Linked DNA regions of Lonchura striata. The protein of the gene in region 1 binds, or shares a complex with, the protein of each later gene. Links are inferred from orthologs where the notes say so. Each region holds a gene or a part of one and is shown on either strand. Other genes may lie near its edges.

The links.
Region 2: the proteins of MEP1A (region 1) and FETUB are in contact, whole or in part, in a cryo-EM structure (PDB 7UAI), measured with the Homo sapiens proteins. The link is inferred for Lonchura striata from reciprocal best matches to the Homo sapiens genes MEP1A and FETUB. Residues at the interface, in NP_005579.2 of Homo sapiens: Asp126, Gly127, Cys128, Trp129, Ser130, Glu131, Val132, Gln145, Gly146, Cys147, Tyr149, Ile152, His155, Glu156, His159, Tyr164, His165, Gln167, Ser168, Leu184, Gly186, Tyr187, His189, Asn190, Asp192, Tyr194, Tyr214, Gln215, Phe217, Ser218; in NP_001362516.1 of Homo sapiens: Phe109, Phe110, Lys144, Lys145, Tyr148, Met149, Thr150, Cys151, Pro152, Asp153, Cys154, Pro155, Ser156, Ser157, Ile158, Ser196, Ser197, Gln198, Trp199, Val200, Val201, Gly202, Tyr205, Phe206, Thr242, His245, Trp246, Phe249, Val250, Ser251.

What each region holds. Positions count from the first base shown.
Region 1 is NC_134605.1:108,043,563-108,054,136, reverse strand, and holds the start of MEP1A (meprin A subunit alpha), read left to right. Parts: upstream 1-5,902; coding exon 5,903-5,971; intron 5,972-6,054; coding exon 6,055-6,079; intron 6,080-6,176; coding exon 6,177-6,224; intron 6,225-6,733; coding exon 6,734-6,774; intron 6,775-6,867; coding exon 6,868-6,946; intron 6,947-7,267; coding exon 7,268-7,385; intron 7,386-8,839; coding exon 8,840-9,015; intron 9,016-10,574.
Region 2 is NC_134612.1:18,862,079-18,873,034, reverse strand, and holds the start of FETUB (fetuin-B), read right to left. Parts: upstream 4,289-10,956; 5' UTR 4,135-4,288; coding exon 3,913-4,134; intron 1-3,912. Other genes in the region: AHSG (alpha-2-HS-glycoprotein), read right to left, coding at 8,246-8,521, 9,358-9,438, 10,264-10,377, 10,662-10,825. UniProt on the Homo sapiens protein: Protease inhibitor required for egg fertilization.

The DNA.
Region 1 (10,574 bases):
CTCTCACACCCACAGGCAGGGCAGGGTTGAAAAATAGGATGGACAAACTCATGGTTTGAGATAAAAGCAGGGAGATCACTTACCAGTTACTGTCATGGACAAAATATATTTGACATCAGGAAAAATAAATTATTTTATTTAAATATAGAAGATAGAATAGGATAATGAGGGAGAAATAGAAAACTTGATTGCACTGCCTCCACACCCCTTTCATCCAAGGCTCAACTTCACTCCATCATCCCCAGCTCCTCCACCTCCCCCACAACAGCAGCACAGAGGCAAATCCAATAGGGGCTGCAGTCAGCTCTTAACAAGTTGTCTCTTCCACTCCTGACTCCTCAAGCTGTTTCCCTGACCGAGAGCAAAGCCTGTTAGCTGGGTGTTCCACTGAGCCAGAGTGCACTGGGAAAAGCCAATCTCATCTCCAGGTCAGGCCAGGAGAGCAGTGACACAGAGCAGGCAATCCTGTCCTTGCAGGCAGTGGGCACAGAGGACACGCAGGGCTGGAGTGGGCAGGGGGCTCTGCGTGTTCACACAGAGCTATCAGCCACTGCCAGACAGGGATACAGCCCATAATACACCACACAGCACAGGGCCACAGCAGGAAAGGTAAACCAAAATAGAGATAAACCTATGTATCGCAGCCATTTCACTCAGTGAATACCAAAATATTTGTGGCAGGTTTGCAGTATTGTTATTTCATTTTTTGCAGCCAGTTTGTGTACCAGTGTTGGATATTTTTCTGTTCCATTAAGAGTATAGAAATTTGGTAGAAAATAAAGCCCTTGCTGGTCTTCAGAGATCAAAGGGTATGGGTGCAGCTCGGCTTAATTTCTGATTATGACAAATTCAGCGCATAAGTCTTGTCATGTTCAATAAGAACTTTCAGAGTCACAGAATCACAAATAATGCATTTTATTGTAGAAATACAAATTGAGAATTGCCACTAATAAATACACTCATTGGATTAGCTCTAAATATATTTAGAAAAAGAGAAGAAGAAAAAACATAAGAGGAATGGGTAATTCATTAAGCACAACTTCACCATCAGCTAGGCCTGTGAACAGAATTTCACCAGGGTACAATCTGACACAGTTGAAAGAGCAAATCTCAACAAAGAGATGTTCCCTGCCTTGGGGAGGAGAGTGAACCAATCCTGTTGTCCTGTCTGCACAGTGGGGTAATATTCTCATCCTCTGCCAGGGAGGATTTCAAATGCCAAGTCTATACTCTTGGGAGAAGTGCAGGTGAAGCTGCAGTCAGAATACATTATTGCTGCCGTGGTAAATGGTGGTGGGCAGCCAGCTGCTATGGAGATGAGGGATACCCAGGGTTCTGATTGCAAAGCTGTGAGTCTTGGGCAGAGGCTGAACACCTAATTAGCATCACCCCACTGAGCTCAGGCAGAGGTTAAGGGCCTCTGCCTGATGATCCATCCCCCCACCAGCAGGCTCTCATGTCCACATTAATCCTTTAACCACACAGGGGCTTAGGCATCATTCCTACCATCAGGGCTAAATGACTTTGTTAACAACAAAAATTTATCTCAAAGATTTAGCTAAATCTAAAAATGATAATAATCTATTTAGCTCAAAATAATTGAGGTCAATAGATATGAATGAAACGTTATTAACTTGGATGTTGAAGACTGAGCATCAGAATCATCTACACTGCCTGGAGAGCTGCAGCAAAAATTCAATTACTTGTTTTCTACAGTGAAAGATCAACATTTTGCATGGGCTCCAGCTTTTATCACAGTTCCTACTTTGTGGAAAACTTGCACTTTACATAGGAGAGAATCTTCAGCAGTGCCTTTTCCAGCTTGGGATTGCTGAAAACCAGAATAAGGGAATGAATATCTGGAAAAGCACACAGATATATGGATATAAGAAGTATCATGGTATTTTCACTCTTCATGGAATAAATTATTGTTAAGACCAAACATACAAAGTTGATGCTGTACATCACTAAGAAGGAGAGGACAGATTTCATGGCTCTGATGTGGGCATCCACGCTGAGGTCCTTCATGGAGTTTGTCTGCATCTTGCGCTTGTGTCTCCAGAGAGAAAAGAGAAGGAAAACAGCAGAAAAGATGACTGCCATGAATGAAGCAGCATATCCAAAGCCAGCAAGGAACAAAGATGAGAAAAAAATGTTTATCTGTTGTGATTCTTGCTTCCCAAAAATTTTCTTGGGAGGTGAAAGTGAAGTTGCCACTCTGCAGAATTTCAGCGATGTCATAGATAACAATGCAACTTGCCAAGGCTAAAATCTCTGACCCCAACAAGAGCCAGGGCACCATCCTGTCAATTTTTACTTTCAGGTAGATGAAGAACCGGTTCCTGAAATTGGCAATTTTTATGCAGTAGAAACCACAAAGACAGGCTGAAACCCACAAGCTGGAATAATTAAAAAAGGTTAAGGAAGATGCAAGTACTTGAAATATCGGGCGAACATAAAGGTAATTGGGACAAATTATTGAAAGGAAGTAGTTTACCCATGAGAAGCACAAAAAGGAAATCCTGGAGCATCCCAGCAGCAGCAAGATCTTCTCATTTGAGTTCAGTGTTTTCTTTTTGACCCAGGCAATGCAAAGCACACAAATGATAAAAGCATTTATCCACACGCCAGCAAACACCTCCAGGGAGATGATGGCGAAAGCCATGATCCCATATGAAGTGACATTGGATTTCTGTGAAGAGTGACAAGCTTCCATGCTGTGAGCTGGGGAGCAGAGCTGTGCTGGCCAAGGGCGCTGTGGCAGCAGAGCCTGAGGCCGGTCAGTGGCTGCTCTTGTGGAGTGTCAGGGGTGGCAAGAGGAGCTTGACAGAGCTGCTGCTCCTGCTGCTGCTGCTGCTGCTGCTGCTGCTGCTGCTGCTTTTGCTGCTGCTGCTGGGGGGATTTTAGCAGGGCAGGTGCAGGGATGTAAATGTGCTGGGTATCCCCTTACTTGGGGCCAGTGTCACTCTTGACTATTTGAATGTTGGTTTTGGGGCGTGTGTTGGGTGACACAAACAGCAGAGATGTTTTTCTGTGGTGGAGAGTGCTGTGATTTTGAGAGTGATCCCTGTTTGATCAGTGTCAGGCTTGAGGATCTGGGTTATTCTGTCTCTTTGTCACCAATGATGATCTCTCAGAGTGGAGCTTGCACTGAGCAAAGCACAGCCAGGGCAGTGGGGTGAGTAATCAAGTCAGGGAATCCAATTCTGAAATACCTTCATATTGATCTGCTCTACCCTTTGTGTTTTGTCTCTTCCTACCAGTATGAGCTCAGTACAGGCCAAGAGAATATATAGATATTTTCTAAGTAGTTTAGGGCATTATCTTTGTTGCTATCTGAATTTATATACTATTTTAAGTTTTGAATAATACAGGACTAAAAATAAATGGTACACTAATTTTAGAATCAAATGTATCTGTCCTGTATTTTCTTTTACTGGTCCTGAGCTCCAAGTTGACAACATTTCAGATTACATTATAACATGCAATAAAATTTTCCACTGGTACCTGAACAATGCCCTGAATGTCCAAAAGCCTGCTTGTTTGTCTCAGCACTATCAGTTTATCTAATAAGATATTATCTCTCTATGACCTTTTCCAAAACTACTCCAGGTAGGGAATTTTGCTAACACCTTTCTGCTCTTTCATCCAGGCAGATATTTTTATATATGCTCATATTTTTAATGTACACTTATTCATTCTTTCTATCTAGAATTACAGATATTTATAATACTTTAAAAGCAGAGCAACCACTGTTTTTATCCTCTGCTGTGTATTTCAGATCTGAATGCTGAAGTTGTTAACCTGGAGGCATTTCACAAGTTCAGTCTTTTGTTGATTTCAAGCCCTGCAACGGTAAACAGACTTACCTAAAAATTGGGAAGGTGGATGGGTAATTTTTTTTATTAAAAAATGTGGTTGGTGCCAGCCTGATATGAGTGCTAGTTTTTTGAGCTCAGGAGACATTTGTTTTTGTTCTTGCTTTTATGAAGGAAATAAATTTCAGCCACATTTCTGTGTCGGAGTTTTTCTGTGTTACTGTGGAGTTAAAACCAGCGCAAGCAGATTAACAAAAGGTATTATCTGCATTTAGTGACACCGGGTAGTGCCTGTGTCTAGGAATCCAGGGTGGACCTTGTCTGTGGGAATACTGATGCACAGCAGTTTTGGGCACTTCATACAATGTAGTGTAAGAGACCAAGGGGTACCTGCTGTACTTCCCAGAGTGGAATAGAAGCAGCTTTACCCATCACCAAGTTTTCACAGAACTGCAGCTAATGGAATAATGTGCATGCACTGCTCTTTCAGGGAGGACAAAATGAAACTGGCGCTGGAGTCCCTCTGCTATGGAGACAGGCTGGGATCTGGGGCTGTTCAGCCTGGAGAAGAGAAGGCTCCAGGGAGACCTTAGAGCCTAGGCCAGTGCCTAAAAGGCATCCAAGAGAACCCCTATATATATATGAAAACAAATATATGCCCTCAGAATGACTTATCTTTAGACATCTGCTTTAGGTGCTTGAGTTATTTTAAAGTTAAGGGTACTAAAACCCAAATGTTTTTCAGACAGCTCTACTTTTGCTTCATTTTTTTATTTTTTGCTTACTTTCTCATATCCACTGCCAAACATCTGGAAATATGGCCTTGGTGCTCTGTTTTGATTCTCTTTGCTCGCCTGTGAAAACAGCCTTGACATGATGTATCTTGAGACATGCTTATTTTACGAGTAGTAAGACCTGTTCAGCTTAGGTGTCAGCAACAATCATTCCTAAAAGAAAGTGTTGAAGAACATTCATTTATGTTAGGTGAAGGATTAGTGCTCTGGGGCCCTTCTTCTCTAAACAAGAAAAGATCTCTGCACTTTTTCCTCTGAAGTGCTATCTCTTATGAATCGATTCCTACTTTGATTTGTTTAGAGAAAAATATGTAGCTTAGCTTGAAGGACTGACTTCTTTCTAGAACAGGCCCATTTCCTATTTAAAACCTACTTACTCAAGCTCTCTGCCTTGTGCTGTGGGTAGTGGTGTCATGGCACAAGCCCTTTTCTATCTAATTGCTGAACACAGAGGTGAACATCCTCACATGCATGACTTGGAATTGCAGATGTGAAATGGAGGAGCAGGATTCTATGCCTAAACTAGAGGCACTCAGGCACTCCAGGGCACATGGGAGCTGTGGGAATATTGATGCACAGCAAACTAGAGTTCCATGGAGCCCTTCCTGACCCACGTCCCTGAGAAAGAAGATAGCAAGATGCAGGACAAGAGTTTATGATCTCTGAAGCCCACCTGGAAGGCCAAGGATTACTGCTCTAAAGTGACTGTTCTGGAGGCAGGGAGTGGCAGGTTGTGCATGGAGCATTAGATCTGGGGTGGGATCAGGTGAGGAAAGACATTTCAGGGGACTCATAATCATATCTCTCTTACTTCTAATCTTTACAATGTAGTGTTAATTATTATTTGAAAGCAGAACTGTGCCAAATTATAATGGCACTGAAGTGCTATAAACCTGGAGTAATTCTGCTTAAGAGTAATCCAAAACATTTCTGCTTTTTTCCTGTGCAGTCAAGATCATAATGCTGACAGATAACAAACACAGGGGAAGGAGTCAGCAACTTTGGGCCAGATGGAGAAGCTGTTATGTGAAGCCTGGGTGGGTCTTTCACCTGCTGCACTGAAGACATGAAGTTTCCACATTCCTCTCTGCAATGTTCCACCAAGTGGACTTAGGTAGCTGATAAGACCAATGCCATTAGGTGCCATCTAGGAGAAAATCTAACTGGTAGAATAATATTTCAAAGGTGGAAAGTCTGATGCTTATTGGCTGATGCTCCATGGAAAGCTCAGCAACGTGCCCTATATATTGCCAGAGAAGAGAGGGACCAGCTTCTGTTCCCATTGCAAGAATGGGCTCCAGCATCTTCCCACTCTGCCTGACACTTCTGCTGTGTTCTGTCTATGGTTCTCCACTCTCTGTAAGTAAAACCTAATTCTACAGGCTCCTCTCAGTCCAGAGGCATCTCATACCTTATACGGGTTGTATTCCATTCTTCTCCAGGTGGGACAGCTCTCCAGTGAAACTGGTAAGTGCTGTGTGAGCTGGTTTGAGTTTTGAAGCATTTCCTTCTACTTGCTGTGAGCCACCACATCCAAACACTTTATGTTTTGACTGTCTTGCAGATGCTGGAGCTAGTGAGATATTCAAAGACATTCCCCAAATCAACTTGGGTGAGTTCACACTTAAATTCTCACAAGGCCTGAAAAGTTGTGAGCATTATGCTGAGTTTTCAGTGTTGTCAAGGAGGCTGATAGCCAGGTAGCTCATGGTAACAAGAGAATTAAAATCAAGTGCGCAAGGATTACATTTCTCTCTCTGTGACACCTGAATATTTCCAGAAAGAACTCTGCAGTCTCAACTGCATTTTCTGCCCATCTCCATATGATTTTTATAAAGTGTTGTAAACATGGAAAACAACTTAGATTGGTCACTGTCCAATTGTGTGACTCTTGTCACTGCCTGAGAGCAAGCAGAGCTCATCAAAGCTCTATCCATGACCATAGGTAATTGTGCCAACACTTTTATTATTACCTGTAACTCAGTGTATAGAGGCTGGTCCTTATTTATCTTCTGTAGATGCCCAAGGACATTAACTTTGTATAAGCAGGTTCAATGTGGTTTATGGAATGAAATATAATTGAAATTCATTGACACTATCTTTGATTAAATTCTATTTCAGCTGCTGGACTGGACCTCTTTCAGGGTGATATCTTGCTCCCTGTAAGTAATTAAAAACTTTCTGTTGCTTGTCCTAATTGTTTCAGCTCATCTCGCTACAGTAGATGCATCACCAACTGTTAATTCCCTTTTCAGAAAAATCAGCGAAATGCCTTAAGAAATGAGGCTTACAGATGGAAGTTCCCCATTCCCTATATTCTGGGTGATGACCTAGGTAATGCAGATACTTTATTCAGATTTTATCTCCAATCCTTATTTGCACTACAGTCACTGTGATAAAAAATTTGCCTTTTTCAGAACTGTTTCAAATTAAAAATGTTAAACTTCACTAATAACTACTTATTGTAGTCTTGTTTATATCAAAATTATTTTTCTTTCTTCTACAGATAACACAGCAAACCATAACTTAGTCAAATTAAATAATTTCTCTTTTCAATCATTTTTCCTTTGGTTCCACATGTGTATCTGTACATATTTTGCCCCATCCAAGGTGAACAAACTGCAATGTATTAAAGGTTCTGTCCTTGTTTTCCAGACCTGAATGCCAAAGGAGTCATTCTCCAGGCATTTGAAATGTTCCGCCTGAAGTCCTGCATTGATTTCAAGCCATATGAAGGAGAAAGAACCTACATTTTCTTTAGGAAACAAGATGGGTAAGGGTAGTATCAATTTCTGTTTAGTTTTGCCGTGTAGAATCAGCTGGGAACTCATTCCATTTTCTAAAGGTTTGCTGTCAGCGGAGAAAAAGAAGCCACCGGGAAAAGAACTCATTCTATGTTCTTAGACTAAAACCTTGCAAGCAGCTGCTCCCTCTGCTGTTATTTAGAGGATGAGCTCTGAAGGTGAATCCCAGCCTGTCTGGGTTTTCCATTTTGATGAAGACCTCCGTGTACATCCTTTTAACTTACCAAGAATGTGAATGTGAATAGCTAGAATTTAAGTCTGGAAATTATTAGAAGATGGGAAGAGGAGAGGGAGAGGGAGAGGGAGAGGGAGAGGGAGAGGGAGAGGGAGAGGGAGAGGGAGAGGGAGAGGGAGAGGGAGAGGGAGAGGGAGAGGGAGAGGGAGAGGAGAGGAGAGGAGAGGAGAGGAGAGGAGAGGAGAGGAGAGGAGAGGAGAGAAGAGAAGAGAAGAGAAGAGAAGAGAAGAGAAGAGAAGAGAAGAGAAGAGAAGAGAAGAGAAGAGAAGAGAAGAGAAGAGAAGAGAAGAGAAGAAGAGAAGAGAAGAGAAGAGAAGAGAAGAGAAGAGAAGAGAAGAGAAGAGAAGAGAAGAGAAGAGAAGAGAAGAGAAGAGAAGAGAAGAGAAGAGAAGAGAAGAGAAGAGAATTTATTGTAATATTTCTTATTGCTTTGACATGGCTCTTCTTTAATGAATAGTCTCTCAAATTCTGAAAGGGTTTTATGCACAGAGATTCAAGTTTTCAAGAAGTGAAAGGATTTGTTTCCTACAGCTAAGTATGTTTTGAAAGAAAATGCAGAAAAGCACAAAAATCTTCTCACTGTATCAGCTGTGACTATTACTTTTTCCCCCAGAAGTTCATGTTTCTGCCTTCAGCTCTTCCTTGAGTGTCCTATGACACTTCTTTTAAAAGTTTACAAGCACCATGATTTTTGACAAGTCAGCATTGAAGATCTTAATACTAGAAATGTCCTTTCATACCTCTGGCAAATGCAAAACACGGTTGCTGTTAAAAAGGACCAAATGTTGCTGTTCCAAATACTCCTGGGGTCTTTTCTCCAGCCCAAGTTATTGCAAAAACGCTCAGCCTGTTTTGATGAATTTACTATTTCCATGTATATTGTGTGCTTTATGCTTCTTGGCCAGATGGTGGCTGATCAAAACTTCTGTGGCTTTCAAAAGTGCAGGGTGATCTTCTCTGACACAGAGGATAAGTAATGAAGTGATAGTTTCTGGGCATTAGTCTGCTTTCAGGCTAGAGTATTTTTAGAATATCAAGGCACATGGTCAGCATCCAAATAATGATTTATGTGATTCCTTTAATATTGAAAACTTCTATAATCTTACTCTAAATCCAGTGAGCAAATTGAAAAGTTAAACACAGAGAAGAAAACTACTGAACAGAGAGTAAACTCTCTGTCTTTCTTAGGTGTTGGTCCATGGTGGGGGACCTGCAGACTGGACAGAACCTCTCGATTGGGTCAGGGTGTGACTACAGAGCAATTGTGGAACATGAGATCCTGCACGCTTTAGGATTTTACCATGAGCAGTCGAGGATGGACCGGGATGACTACGTGAATATCTGGTGGGATGAAATTATTGCAGGTGGGTTTTATCGTTCAAGATAGATTTTGCAAAGTGTAGATTTATCAATACCCCATTTTCACTTCTAGATTTAAAGACCTTCCTAAGGATAGAATTTTAGAAAATTTAGAATTTCAGTGGGCCGCACCTGAGAACACTAAATTAAGAAATTTTGGTGCAACTTCTCTGGTCAAACCCAGACATTGTTTAAGGCCAGAACAGAGAGGCCTCACTTGGAAATCAGGACTTTTATTTCCCCTTGGCTCTTGGAATGCTCTGCTCTCTTATTTTAAACTAATTACTTGCCATCTATGAATCTGTTTCCTTTAATCATGTAATGTAAATTGTAAACTTATTTAGATGATGAGTTTTGAGATAGTTCTTCTGTAGGCAATGATCCTTTCAAAATCTGAAAGGTTTTTATATTCAGAGACTCCGGCTTTCCTGAAACTGAAAATATTCACTTTGCACGTGAAAAAGCCCTTAAAATAATTAGATTGTATGGGAAATATCAAATAGGGTTCTGTCCTGCTCCCTCCTACCCGGTGTGTCTGCAGGTTCTTGCCTTCAGGTTTAGTATCACCATATTTAGGAGCTTTATGAGTTTCAGCAAACTCTTCACAGTCCCCCTGATCCCTAGACAGTTTTTCCTGTTGTTCTCTGTAAGATCTGATTCTGTATTATATAACAATGACTTATTTGAAGAGGACAAAATAAAAGAGAGGGGGTTCTTTTAATTTTTGATAAAAGGTGCAATTCAAGTCTCTGTAAGAAAACAATTCCAAGCTCTTATATAATCTCAAGCCTTGAACTGAAGATCTTTGTGATTTGCAGAAGGGAGGGCAACTGTTAAGCAGAGCAAGTGTAGTTAACCACCACAGTCATGTGCTGTTTTGTCTTTGAAAAACAGTGTCAAATATTCTGATAACATTATTTGCGATAGTAAAAGCTGGCAAGCTCTTTTTACTTCTATACCAAAGCATGTGAAATGGCTCCCTCTCTTTGCCCTAGCACACACCTTTCTCTAAGGACAACTTATTTCACCAAGAAAACATGAGAAACATGTTTCCAAAAGCCATATCAATACAAATATCATATCAATATTGTAAATCTAGGGTAAAAATATCCTTCTTTTTTCCCCAGAAATTGCTAGGGCATTATTTATTTCAAGGAAGAACCAAACCTGAAGACACTTCCAGGCTGTCATATTTTTTTCCTTTGAGTTTCAGGGCCTCTCCTTCTCCATATATGATCCAATACCTGGAAAATGTTTGAATCAATATTCACAGATTCTGGAATGGAGTACATTAGTCCCTAAACTTAATCTTTCAGGATCATTACTGTTAAACCATTCCTATTAATTCTAATCTATCCTCCTTTATATCCCATTCTTTACAGCTCATTGATACTCATTTTTTAATTTACTGAAGTCACCTGTTAGAGCACAGAGCTGCAATCCAAAGGCACTGCTTTGTTGTCCAAATGTCAAACACAAATCTTGCTAAGTTTTAATATTTTGTTGTGAAGTAATTGCTTTGGGGTATATAATTTGTGCCTTAGAAAACTGTATCCAAGGGTAC
Region 2 (10,956 bases), on another chromosome or scaffold:
AGAGGCAAAGGGCCCCGTGGTAGCTGACTGCTTGCGCCAGCAGTGCAACTCTGTCACCAAAGATATCTTACGTTCCCTGCCAGCCGGAGCCAGCCTGGCTGACATGATCAGACATGTAGTGAGGGAAGAACACCTGACACCCATTCAGGCAGCCGTCCACACCCTGACCAGTGCCATGGCGTGTTTCAAGTGTGGTGAGGCAGGTCACATCGCGGTGAGCTGTCCCCAGCCGACACGGCAGCCCGCCGCGGCGCCTCCACCCCAAACACGCCAGAGAGGAGCCTGTTGGAGCTGCGGGAGGAAGGGGCATCTGGCCAAGGAATGCAGGTCCCGGCCCCAGGGAAACGGGAGAGGGAGGGGGCGTGCGGGCTGCACCCAGCCTCCTCCCGCTGCAAATGCAAGGCAGCCCATCTATGCCAACCCCCAGTAGGACGGGGCGCCCTTATACCCCGTACCCCCACGGGAGGCAGCCAGCTTCGTACCCTCGCCAGCGAATTTCGCAACACAGCCTGCGGTACCTTCGTACCCACTACTGCCGCAAGCAGCGCCTGTGCCGCAGGGTCAGCAGGGGACGCCCCAGAACGGGACCCCTGGGTGGCCCTGGCCATGAAAATAGGGAAGGAGCCACCGAAGGTGTGGGGGACGTGCCGCCTTTATGGCAGTCAAGACCCCCATGTCATAGGGCTTCAGTTTTGGGCAGACACAGGAGCAGACTGCTCGATTTTTCCCCAAGCACTGTGGCCCCGACACTGGCAATGCAAAGAAGTCCCCCCAGTGAACGGAGCGGGAGGGCCGTCCCGAGCTTGAAAAAGCACCCAATTAATAGCCATAACGCTTCATACAAAAAAGAGACCAGAACAAACAGTAGCAATCCACCCCTACATTTTGCAAAACTCTCCACCCCTGATAAGAAGGGACATCCTTGCTATGTTAGGAGTCAGGATTACAAATTTATAATAAGGGCCACTGCCGTACACCCACTGCTGCCAATCAAACTGACTTAGAAATCACCAGACCCCGTATGGGTCGAGCAGTGGCCCCTGTCAAAGCCTCGAATAGTAGCCTTGCTAGAACTGGTCGACCTCGAGCTGCAAAAGGGTCACATAGAACCCTCCACCAGCCCGTGGAACACCCCTGTGTTTATATACTAGAAACTACCTTTCTAACCCTAAACGAAACCAAACCGAACCTGACTAACTCCTGTTGGCTTTGTTATGATGTTAAACCCCCTTTCTACGAAGGCATTGCTTTAAACACCCCCTTCAGTTACTCCACAGCCAGTGCCCCCCACCAGTGCAGATGGGACACTCCCCGCAGAGGAATCACCCTGAGTCAAATCACAGGACAAGGCAAATGTTTTGGCAATGCAACTTTAGCAAAGCAGAAAGGCAACTTCTGCACTAAAGTTGTCAAGCCCAACAGAAAGATCGGTAAGTGGGTGGTCCCATCCGCATCTGGAATGTAAGTTTGCCAGCGATCCGGAGTGAGTCCTTGTGTGTTCCTTGCCAAATTTAATGACTCTATTAACTTCTGTGTCCAAGTTCTGATTGTTCCTAGGGTCCTATACCACTCAGATGAAGAAGTGTACCACCTTTTCGAAGAACCTGACAGACTGCACAAAAGAGAAATAATCACAGGTATAACTATCGCAATGCTGCTCGGCCTGGGAGCAGCTGGTACAGCCACAGGTGTCTCAGCCATCGCGACCCGACAGCACGGACTCTCTCAGCTGCAAATGACCATCGATGAAGACCTGCAGAGGATCGAGAAATCCATCTCCTATCTAGAGAAATCAGTCTCTTCGCTTTCAGAAGTAGTTTTACAGAATAGGCGAGGACTGGACCTCTTGTTCATGCAACAAGGAGGACTGTGTGCAGCTTTGAAAGAGGAATGCTGCTTTTATGCAGATCATACAGGAGTCGTTAAAGACTCTATGGCAGAACTCCGAGATAGACTGGCTCAAAGAAAGAAAGACAAGGAAACCCAGCAGAGCTGGTTCGAATCCTGGTTCAATCAATCACCTTGGCTCACCACTTTAATTTCTGCCCTGGTAAGTCCACTGGCAATACTGCTTTTAGCTGTTACCATAGGACCATGCCTGCTGAACAAGCTAGTCTCATTTGTTCAGGCCCGTCTAGAACGGGCGAACATTCTGTTCGTGGGCCAGCAACAAATGCTGTAAACCAAAAAGTGCGAACACAATCAGCTGCAAAAGCCTTCAAAACTCACCTTGCGAGATTTACTCAGGTTTACCAAAAACCCTTTTTTCCTTACCAAGTTACAAGTTTGTACCTCACTCCAGTGCCTATATCTACGACTACCTCATGTTACTTATGAAAAGGAGGGGGGAGATGTAGTAGATAGGGACAGGCGAACGGAAGATTTCGGGATGTGACGGAAAGAAAGACCCCTTCCCCCTCTCACCCTGCAACATGTTATCCATTTACCCCAAAGAATGTAACCACACCTAACCCAGTAGTTTTCCACTCCTGACTAACCCTAGAGACCCTACCAACCCCCCCTGACGTAACAGAGTCCCCCAAGACTATTTAAACCCATGAGATAAGATAATAAACGCTTTCGACCGTCCACCACACTGGTGCCTGCGTGTGTCGTTGGCCCGAGTGGCCCAGGGGAGACTGGGCTGCCATGCTGTTCCTTGAAACCAGGTCGCCTTGCCTTCCCCTGAAGGCAACAGGATCAAAAATCTCCAGTGTTGAGATATCTTTGGCTCAGGTGAAGGGTGAAGTAGGGAGAGGACTGGGGTGGTTTGCAGCATGTCTGCCCCCACCATGCTGCACTCTAGAGTGGTCATAGGGGGCTCTAATTATTGTCAATAGGAAATAACCCCAGGAAGGGGTCTGAGTACCAAACTCCATGAAATAGCCCCAGGAAGGGGTCTGAGCACCTAGCTCCCTGCTTGCTGATGTGGATTCTGGGCCAGCTCACCTGCATCATGTAGAAAAATTCTGAAGAGACCTGATCCAGTTGTTCAGTGGGCACATTCTGTCACCTGAGCAAGGCAGTATAGAGACCATAGTGCAAAACACAGCAGAGCATCTTTAGCTGTGAAATCTCATGTTGCTGGAGTCCACAGTGTGTCTGCAGGAGCCATGTCCTTGTAAGAGCAGCAGGAAGAAATGTCATATCCTTGCTAGCACAGGTCTAAGCATCTGGCAATGAGCCTAATTTTCTTTAGAGTTCAGAAGTGAGCTTTTCAGGTAAGCTTATGGGAAGTGACCAGTCATTGCAGGGAATGCCAGCAGCAGGTTTCCATAGTGCCTAATCTGCTGCAGGCCCTTGTGAATTCATTTCAGGCTGTCCCTAGTTAGTGCCAATAGATTCAGTTATTGTAGCACAAAATTGTCATAAATTAAGCACACACAGAGAAATACGATACTTGAGGAAATGGGAGTGATATTCTGTAGGTATTTCCAGTGCATTTTTTGCCCTTGAACTGGTTTCAGGTTTCTTCTGGAGAATGAGTCATCTTTTAGAGGTCTGTGAAGGAATTCCTTGGTCCCAAGCAGGATGTGTTTACACCTGTTAGTGCTCATATCTTTTGTGCAAAACACACTATGACTTACTAGCCTTTGCACTCCAACTGCTCAAGGCAGTGGGAGGAAGGTGTAAAATGAAATTAAATCAGAGTAGTGGTGTTTCATATCAAATTTGAACTGATGCCTGGAGCAATTCCAAGGGCCTGCAGCAGAGAGTCATGACTGAGATTTGCTCTCTAATTGCCCACAGTGTGATGAAATTGTTTCTAGTCTGTGCATAAAGTTGACATGGCCTCTGGAGTCCTGTGAATAGAGCTTTGCATTTGCCTTTGGAAATATTTCTTTATTCAAATAGATATTTCTGAGAAATAGACACAGGGAGGAACATATATTGAGCAAGAGGGTGACTTACCTGTGGCTGTTCTAGGGCACTGATGATTCTGTAGAGGCTGAGTACGTAGCCCTCTTCTCGGTCAGCATTGATCTGGCGGAGAGCCAGGTCTGCAGCCTCCTCCACTGCGGGGTCATCGCAGCGAGGGCAGAGCAGGGCAGCCCCTGCTCCTTGGGCAGGAGGGGCAGCAGTGCAGGAGCAAAGCACCTGTATGCCAAAGAGCATCCAAACAAGCCAAACCATTCTGCCTAGAGAGCCAGTGCTGCAGATGAGGGTGGTCAGTCAGGACAGAGGGGCTGAGACCTGAGTGAGATAACAGATCTTTATAGTGGAGCTGTGTCTCTTTATAAACTTGTGCCCCCTTTTTATTGCATACTGACCATCACCTTTAAACCTACAGCTGCAACAGTAAACACTAAGTCAATGATTACAAGGTTTTACAGAAGTGTTGTTGCTCCCTCTGAGACCAGACAGCACTTTTTCCTTCTGGCTTTCCATCTCTAAATTTGACTTCACTGGGCAGATCATGCAATTTTGACCTCATGGCAAGGTATAAGAATACACACACAAATCTGCTTCCTTAAGAAACCAGATTTGTTTGAATAAATCTCTGTGCAGAACAGGCCTGGCTCCAGTTCTGTTCTGTCAGTGATCCAGTTCTTCTGCCAAATAAAATGAAGACAAGGGTCTCAGTAATTTGAACAGAAAATGGATAAATGCCACAAGGTTGACTGATTTTGCACTTTGTATTTGTTAAGTGACAATTTTAAACCATTACATTGACTCTATTATATGCAGTCAGTTTGGTTGTGATAGAAAGCTCAGTTTGGATTCATGCTGTGAGCATTTCTACTCATCTGGATGCCTACAGTTGAATGCTACCACTTAGCCTTGGAGGCATTGACACCCCTCAAAGGTCATGGCAAATTCTTCCCGGAGAAACTTCAGTTTGAAATGACAGCAGTGTGCCTTGTGAATAACCTGTCAGGAACTCCATGATGGAGACAAGGGGGAATAGCTTTACAAGTAGCTTCTATCTTGAAGATCTGGAGAAGGGGTAGGGACCAGGGACCATTACCTGGAGAGAATCCCAGTTCAATGTCACTGGTTTTCTACTAAGGGGCAATTCTTAAGCATTTCACCTTGAAGGATATCAGAAGCTGGGTCACCAGGTCCCTGGCTCTCATTTTTTGTCATGGGACTCTGTGATTGCACCTTTCTGCTGGAGGACACCAAGTACCTTTAAGTTTGAAAGTTGTATTGAATGAGGAAGAAAAAATGCAAGTGAAGGACATAATTGTCTCTTCAATACTACTATGATATCTGGAGTAGTTAAAGATTTCTACATTGCCACTTTTTTACTGGCTGTGTAAAGAATCTTAGCCCAGAAGTATTTAAACCATCTGGGAGACAGCAGAATATGTCCCAGGGAATGTGCATAGAAAGCTGGGATAATAGATACAGCCAAAAGACCTGCAACAGCACTGGAGCTGAAACTCTTCTAAGAAGACTGTTTGGTGGAAAACCCCGATTGCAGGACAGAAGGGACACATGGCTGCTGGAGTGAGCCCCTCACGTGTCGGGTGAGGGATAATGCACAGACTGTGTCCCAGAGGGATGGGATACAAAGGGTGAATGTTGGGATACAAGGGGTGAATGTTGAGAAACACTGCTGTAGCCATAGTACAGGAACTACAGCAGCAGCAATGCAGACTTGCTCCCATTGTTCCTTGTGCCTGGGGAAGCTTCCCCTGCGGCTAAAGGATAATAACTCATTTTCTTTATCCTTACAGTGCATGGCATTTCTATGGAGATGGGTGCCAGTTAGTACTGGCTGTGTTGGTGCTTCTTATAATAGGGGATTGTTATATCCCTGACTCTGTTCTTTGTACTCTTCCTCTGCCTGGAAAGGAAAAATTTCTCTGTTGAAGTAGCTGACCTCAAAACATGGACACAGCTGGGAAATCCAAGCATGTTCAGCCAAAGCAGCACATGAAGTATATGAGCTTTTGCGAAACAGCTTCTGAAAAAGCTGGAAAAACATTGTTAGCCAGCAATGCAGACCTGGCAAAACTCTTCATGCTACATTTCAAGGAATTGTATTTCATGTACCACCATTTCATATGTCTCATTGCCCAGAGAATCAATTGTTAAGTAGTGAATCTGTTAGTAAGGCCCAGGTGCATGAAAATGGGGCTATACTGGTGGGAGACAAAGTGGTTGCTTTAAAGCAGTCACCGAAAACAGATCTGTAAGGAGGCATGATGTGTCCTTAAGAGGACAAGTGTTAAGGAGAAAGAAAATGAAGTGCAGCTACCAAAATGGAATGCACAGAGAAAATTTTTTTCTTCCTGTTTTAGAAAGCAAGGGATTGTTTCACCAGGTATAGAACATCTGTGAAGTATGGAGACTGCAGATGTTTCTGCTACATATCTTTTCTTTATGTGGTTTGAAAAGGCAACAAGAAAATGCAGCATTTCTGGATTTCAGGGAACCTCAGGGGCAGGGATCCCTTCTATAAACATTGTTTCTGCTATAAGAAGATTTTCTAAGCCTGGAAAACATTCTCTCTTCTATGAATTAGTTTCTATTTCATTATATAGAAGACAATTTCTATGGTTTAGTAATGGTGATTCCTAGTTTTGAAAAGTTTCATGTATCTGGTGTCACAGTGATGCAAAACAAAATAGTTGCAGTTTCATTAAATCCTGTGCTGTGTCTCATGCAGTGAGATAGGAAGACCTCCTATCTTACTGCATTAAGAGATTTCTACAGCTTAATATTAGCACTTTTTGATGGAATGGCTGCATGCAGGTTATACTGGAGTCTCTGCTCTACAGAGAAGCAAAACCTCCCTGAGCCACTGACTGGCTGTGGCTGGTGCATTTGCCCACAACATGCTTCCTGCAAAACTCAGCATTTGCTTGAAATGTGAGAGCAGCTATCTTCACAGGCAGAGCTTGCCCTCAGTGTGCTCCCATAACATTAGGCTGTGGTTTATAGAGTCTGGGCTGATTTTCCTTTTCTTTACACACCCAGCTGAAGCACTGGTGCAAATGCCAATGATTTACCCCTTCCCCATTGACACAGCAGAGCAGAACCTTTCTGTATTGTGAGCTGTTGCACTAGCACCAAGAGCAAGTGTTAGTTGTGTTGCTTACTAAGTACTGGATGATTGTAACTAGGAGAACAGGACAGGTTATTTGAAAGAGTTCAGAAATGACATGTGTTCTGCAATTTTTTGCTGCCTGCATGATAATTATCTTGTAGCAAGTGCTGTTCCTGGTTAAACATTCATGACTGTCTTTGAGACTGTTCCCCAGGGCCTGCAGAATTCCAGTCTGGCTGGCAGTAAAGATCCTTCTGGCCCCAGCCCCTTATTAATTCTCTACCTAGAATAGATTCTGCCTCTAACATGTGCCAGAAATTCAGAGAAGATTTGACTACTACAATAATGGTAAATTGCCATCCCTGTCAGGGTCCTGTTATATGAGATACATGCCAGTCATATATTTTTTATTCCCTTGAATTGGCACTTCCTCATATGCACACAGACCGTGCAGGACCCCATGATTATACTGCACCTGTGTGTCTGCTGGAAGACAGACAATACACATGTGTTTGGTTGCAGGGATTGATGCTTTCAGCCTGCCAGCAATGACAGTGTCCTCCTGACTCTCTGCTCTTTTCATAGACATGGATGCTCTTGTGCCATGTCCAAAAGTTTTGAGGTACTTCTGGTGCATATCAAAAGTAGGTACATGGTGGGAAACATTATAAGTGGAAGGGAAAAGTACTTTTTTTCCTGCCACCTCTTTAATGTTACTGGTGTGTGATCAAAAGGGAGGACTGACCTGATTTTCCGCAGTGCTCAGCACCCACACATCCCAGTGAAGCTGATCAGAAGTGCAGGAGCTTAGTGTTTTTGAAATCAAGCCCAGAATATGACTCATAATGCTGTGAAGGAGATACTTGACAACTAAATGAATATATATACAGATAGAAGGTAGCAAAGCTTTGAACATTTTATTGTGAACTAACCTTTCAGGTGGTTCTTCTGTCACAAAGCTACAACTGTTGTACAGCTCTTACAACAGTTTCACTGAAACAATATTTTCTGTATTTTAACTAGAGAAGCCCTCTATGTAAAGTAAACTACGGCTATATATTGTAATCATCTATATTTTGGAGCAGGCCTTTACAAGACTCTGGCCATGGCTCTGCTCTCTGGAGAGTAAAACTCATTCAGGCTCAGAGTCAAGCGTTCTCACCCATTTGTAGTCGATATTGTGGTCTGTGTGTTGCTGTTGCACTGATCCCTCAGTTTGGCTGCACTGCATATCTGAAACACAGCCTAGATATCGAAATGGCGAATCTTCCCAGGGCAGGGAGGAGGAAGAGGCACAAAGCCAACTGGGCGAGGTACTTTGTCATGCTGAGCAGCCACTGCAATTGCTCTCTTTGTTACTGATTTTGCTGCGAGCGCGGAACGCAAAATTTCTGAAGAGCTGGATTCGGATGCAACGGGGTTATTGTGGAAAAGCCCAAGATTATGGTTTGTGACACCTACAGCACTGGGTGCCAGTCCTGCTGATGTGTCTTGACCTGGATGAGCGTAGGTAACTCCAGGCTGGAAAATAAAAACAGGTCATGTTTGTTTTCAGGGACCTGGGGCTTTTCACATACAGGTAATTGATACCTTACTAAGTACCCTGCTCCTAAATAGCTATAGGCCTGCAACCCAGGTTCAAATGTTCCTGACTATCACAGAAGTCTGATTTGCATTGGAACCCATGCACAAGAACCCAGGAACACATTTTTTATAGCCAATGAATCATTAGGACCAAATTCTGTGCTATATGATATTTCAGAGCCACCTGCACAGCTGATGAAACATTCAAGACCAGCTGTCTCATTCTCTTTTTCCCATACCTTTTAATTAATTACTGTTGAGCTACCAAGACCTGTTGTCCATAGGAAGTGTTCAACCACCACCTAGTCCTCCTGAGACCAAATGTAGGCTAAAATACCTGAGAGTACTCAGGTCAGGTGCACATTTCCCTCCCCTTGCTACAGCAGTGCAGGACAAGGTCCCTGAATTCAGTCATGTCTAAGCACTAAAAGCCTCCAGCCTCGCAATGCTGATTTTTGTTTTACATTTTTCTGCCCCTTCCCTTTAACTGAGCAGAGTTTGGTTCCCTTTGCCCTGACAGACATGTGAATCTCTCAGATGGTCAAGAGGGCAAATTGTGTCAAGCATGGATGGCAGACATGGCTTAATTCCCAGCACAGAAATCCATGGGATACTCAGCAGCTACCTTGCCTTGGCTTTTAGGATACAAAGTTAAGTTATCACAGGTGGCCAATGCAGTCTACAATGAGAGAAGTAAACTCAAGATGATGCCATGTAACAGTACCAGTAGGCTAGAATGCCCAGGAAAGCAAGGGAATATCTGGAGCTGGTACCTGATGTCCATACAACTGGCAGTCCACCTGAAGGTCTTGTGAGGGACGTTTTACCATCACTGCTGTGCAGAAACCAAAATTCTGGCAAAATAGAACATAGTTAAGAGAAAATAGTTAGAAGATAGAGGGAAGCTGGATCAGAATTTTTAATTTCAGCACATTTAGAAATGGCAACTTTTTCTTGTGTTTTATCTGAGCAGCAAAGTGCTTGGTTTTTAGCCTGCTGGGCTCAAAAAAAACCCCAAAAAAACAAAAAAACAAACAAAAAAAACCCCCAAAAAAAAACCTCTTTAAATGCCTAAGCAGCAAATAAGGGAAACTCCTGTGTTCTTCTATAGTATGATCCTTTGTATGTCTGGATATGAGGGAAGGAAAGAATATATAAGAATCTAGATAAAGAGCTCCCACCCCCTAAAACTGCTTAGGACTCAGTCCCATCAGAAATAGAAGAATTTTGACATAAAAAGTATACAGTATAACTCTCAAGAGCATATATATCAGAACTGAGTGCACTGATATTGTAAGAGGGAGAAATGGTCTGCTTTTTTTTTTTAATGTGACAGTGTACTGTCCAATACAAAAAGCCTGATTTTCTCAGGTGCTCATTTTAAGAATAAACAATAATATATAGTCTATCCATTAAAAATATTCTGTCTCTGATCCTCAAGCTTTTTTCAAATGTATTCAAATCCATGAGAATTCAGTCCAAATACCTCAGAGAAAAGAGAAAGGTGTGATATAGCTTTAAGAATGATATATTGAAAAACATATCATGATGGTACACATCTCTTGCACTTTGATCCCCACAGGGGTTTATTCCTGCTCCAGCGAATGCACATCCCAGCATGAGGCTGCTTTTGTAGCTCAGAGCTGGGGAGGCTGGGGCTGATGTGCTGCCATACTCACAGACTGATCCTCGGGCAGCAGCTGACAAGCCCCCACGTTGGCTTTAGCTTCTTCTGCAGAGCAGTTCGTGGCACCCACAGCAAACTCAGTAACAACAACGTGTCCTGGGTGATACTGATAAAACAGGAAAAATGTTTGATTGACTTTGCACTCAGAAACTGCAGAGCTGCTGAGAAAAGATAAAAGGCAAATGTTGTGGCTTCATCTCCCACTGGAGTGAAAGGGAATCCTGTGGCTAAAATGACACATAATAGTTGGGAAATTAAAAGCAGATCAGGAGGGCGAATTAAAGCAAGCAAATTGTGTCTGTTTGCAAACATAACTAGGTAGCAGCGCACAGTTACTGTAGATGAAGTATTATGTTTACGTGAAAGGCTAGACATAACTGTAGAAATTACCTGTATTTTGGCTCTTCCAATCTCGAGGAGTCTGAGGTAAGAATCAGTGGTTTTGCTGTTGTAGTCATTGAGTGCCGCTGACACCGTTTCTAACACCTCTGTGTTGTTCAAACTTGCCAGCAGTGGACAGTCAGGGCAGACTTTGCGAATGTCTTCACTGGAGTCTGCAGGAGGAATAGATCATGTTTTGATCAGATTGTAAATTGTTTAGAAAGGCATTATAGGCCTATTCAGTAATACAAAGCACTGTTTAAAAGCCTGTCCTAAATTAAAGTGGCAGGAATTTTTCCAGTGC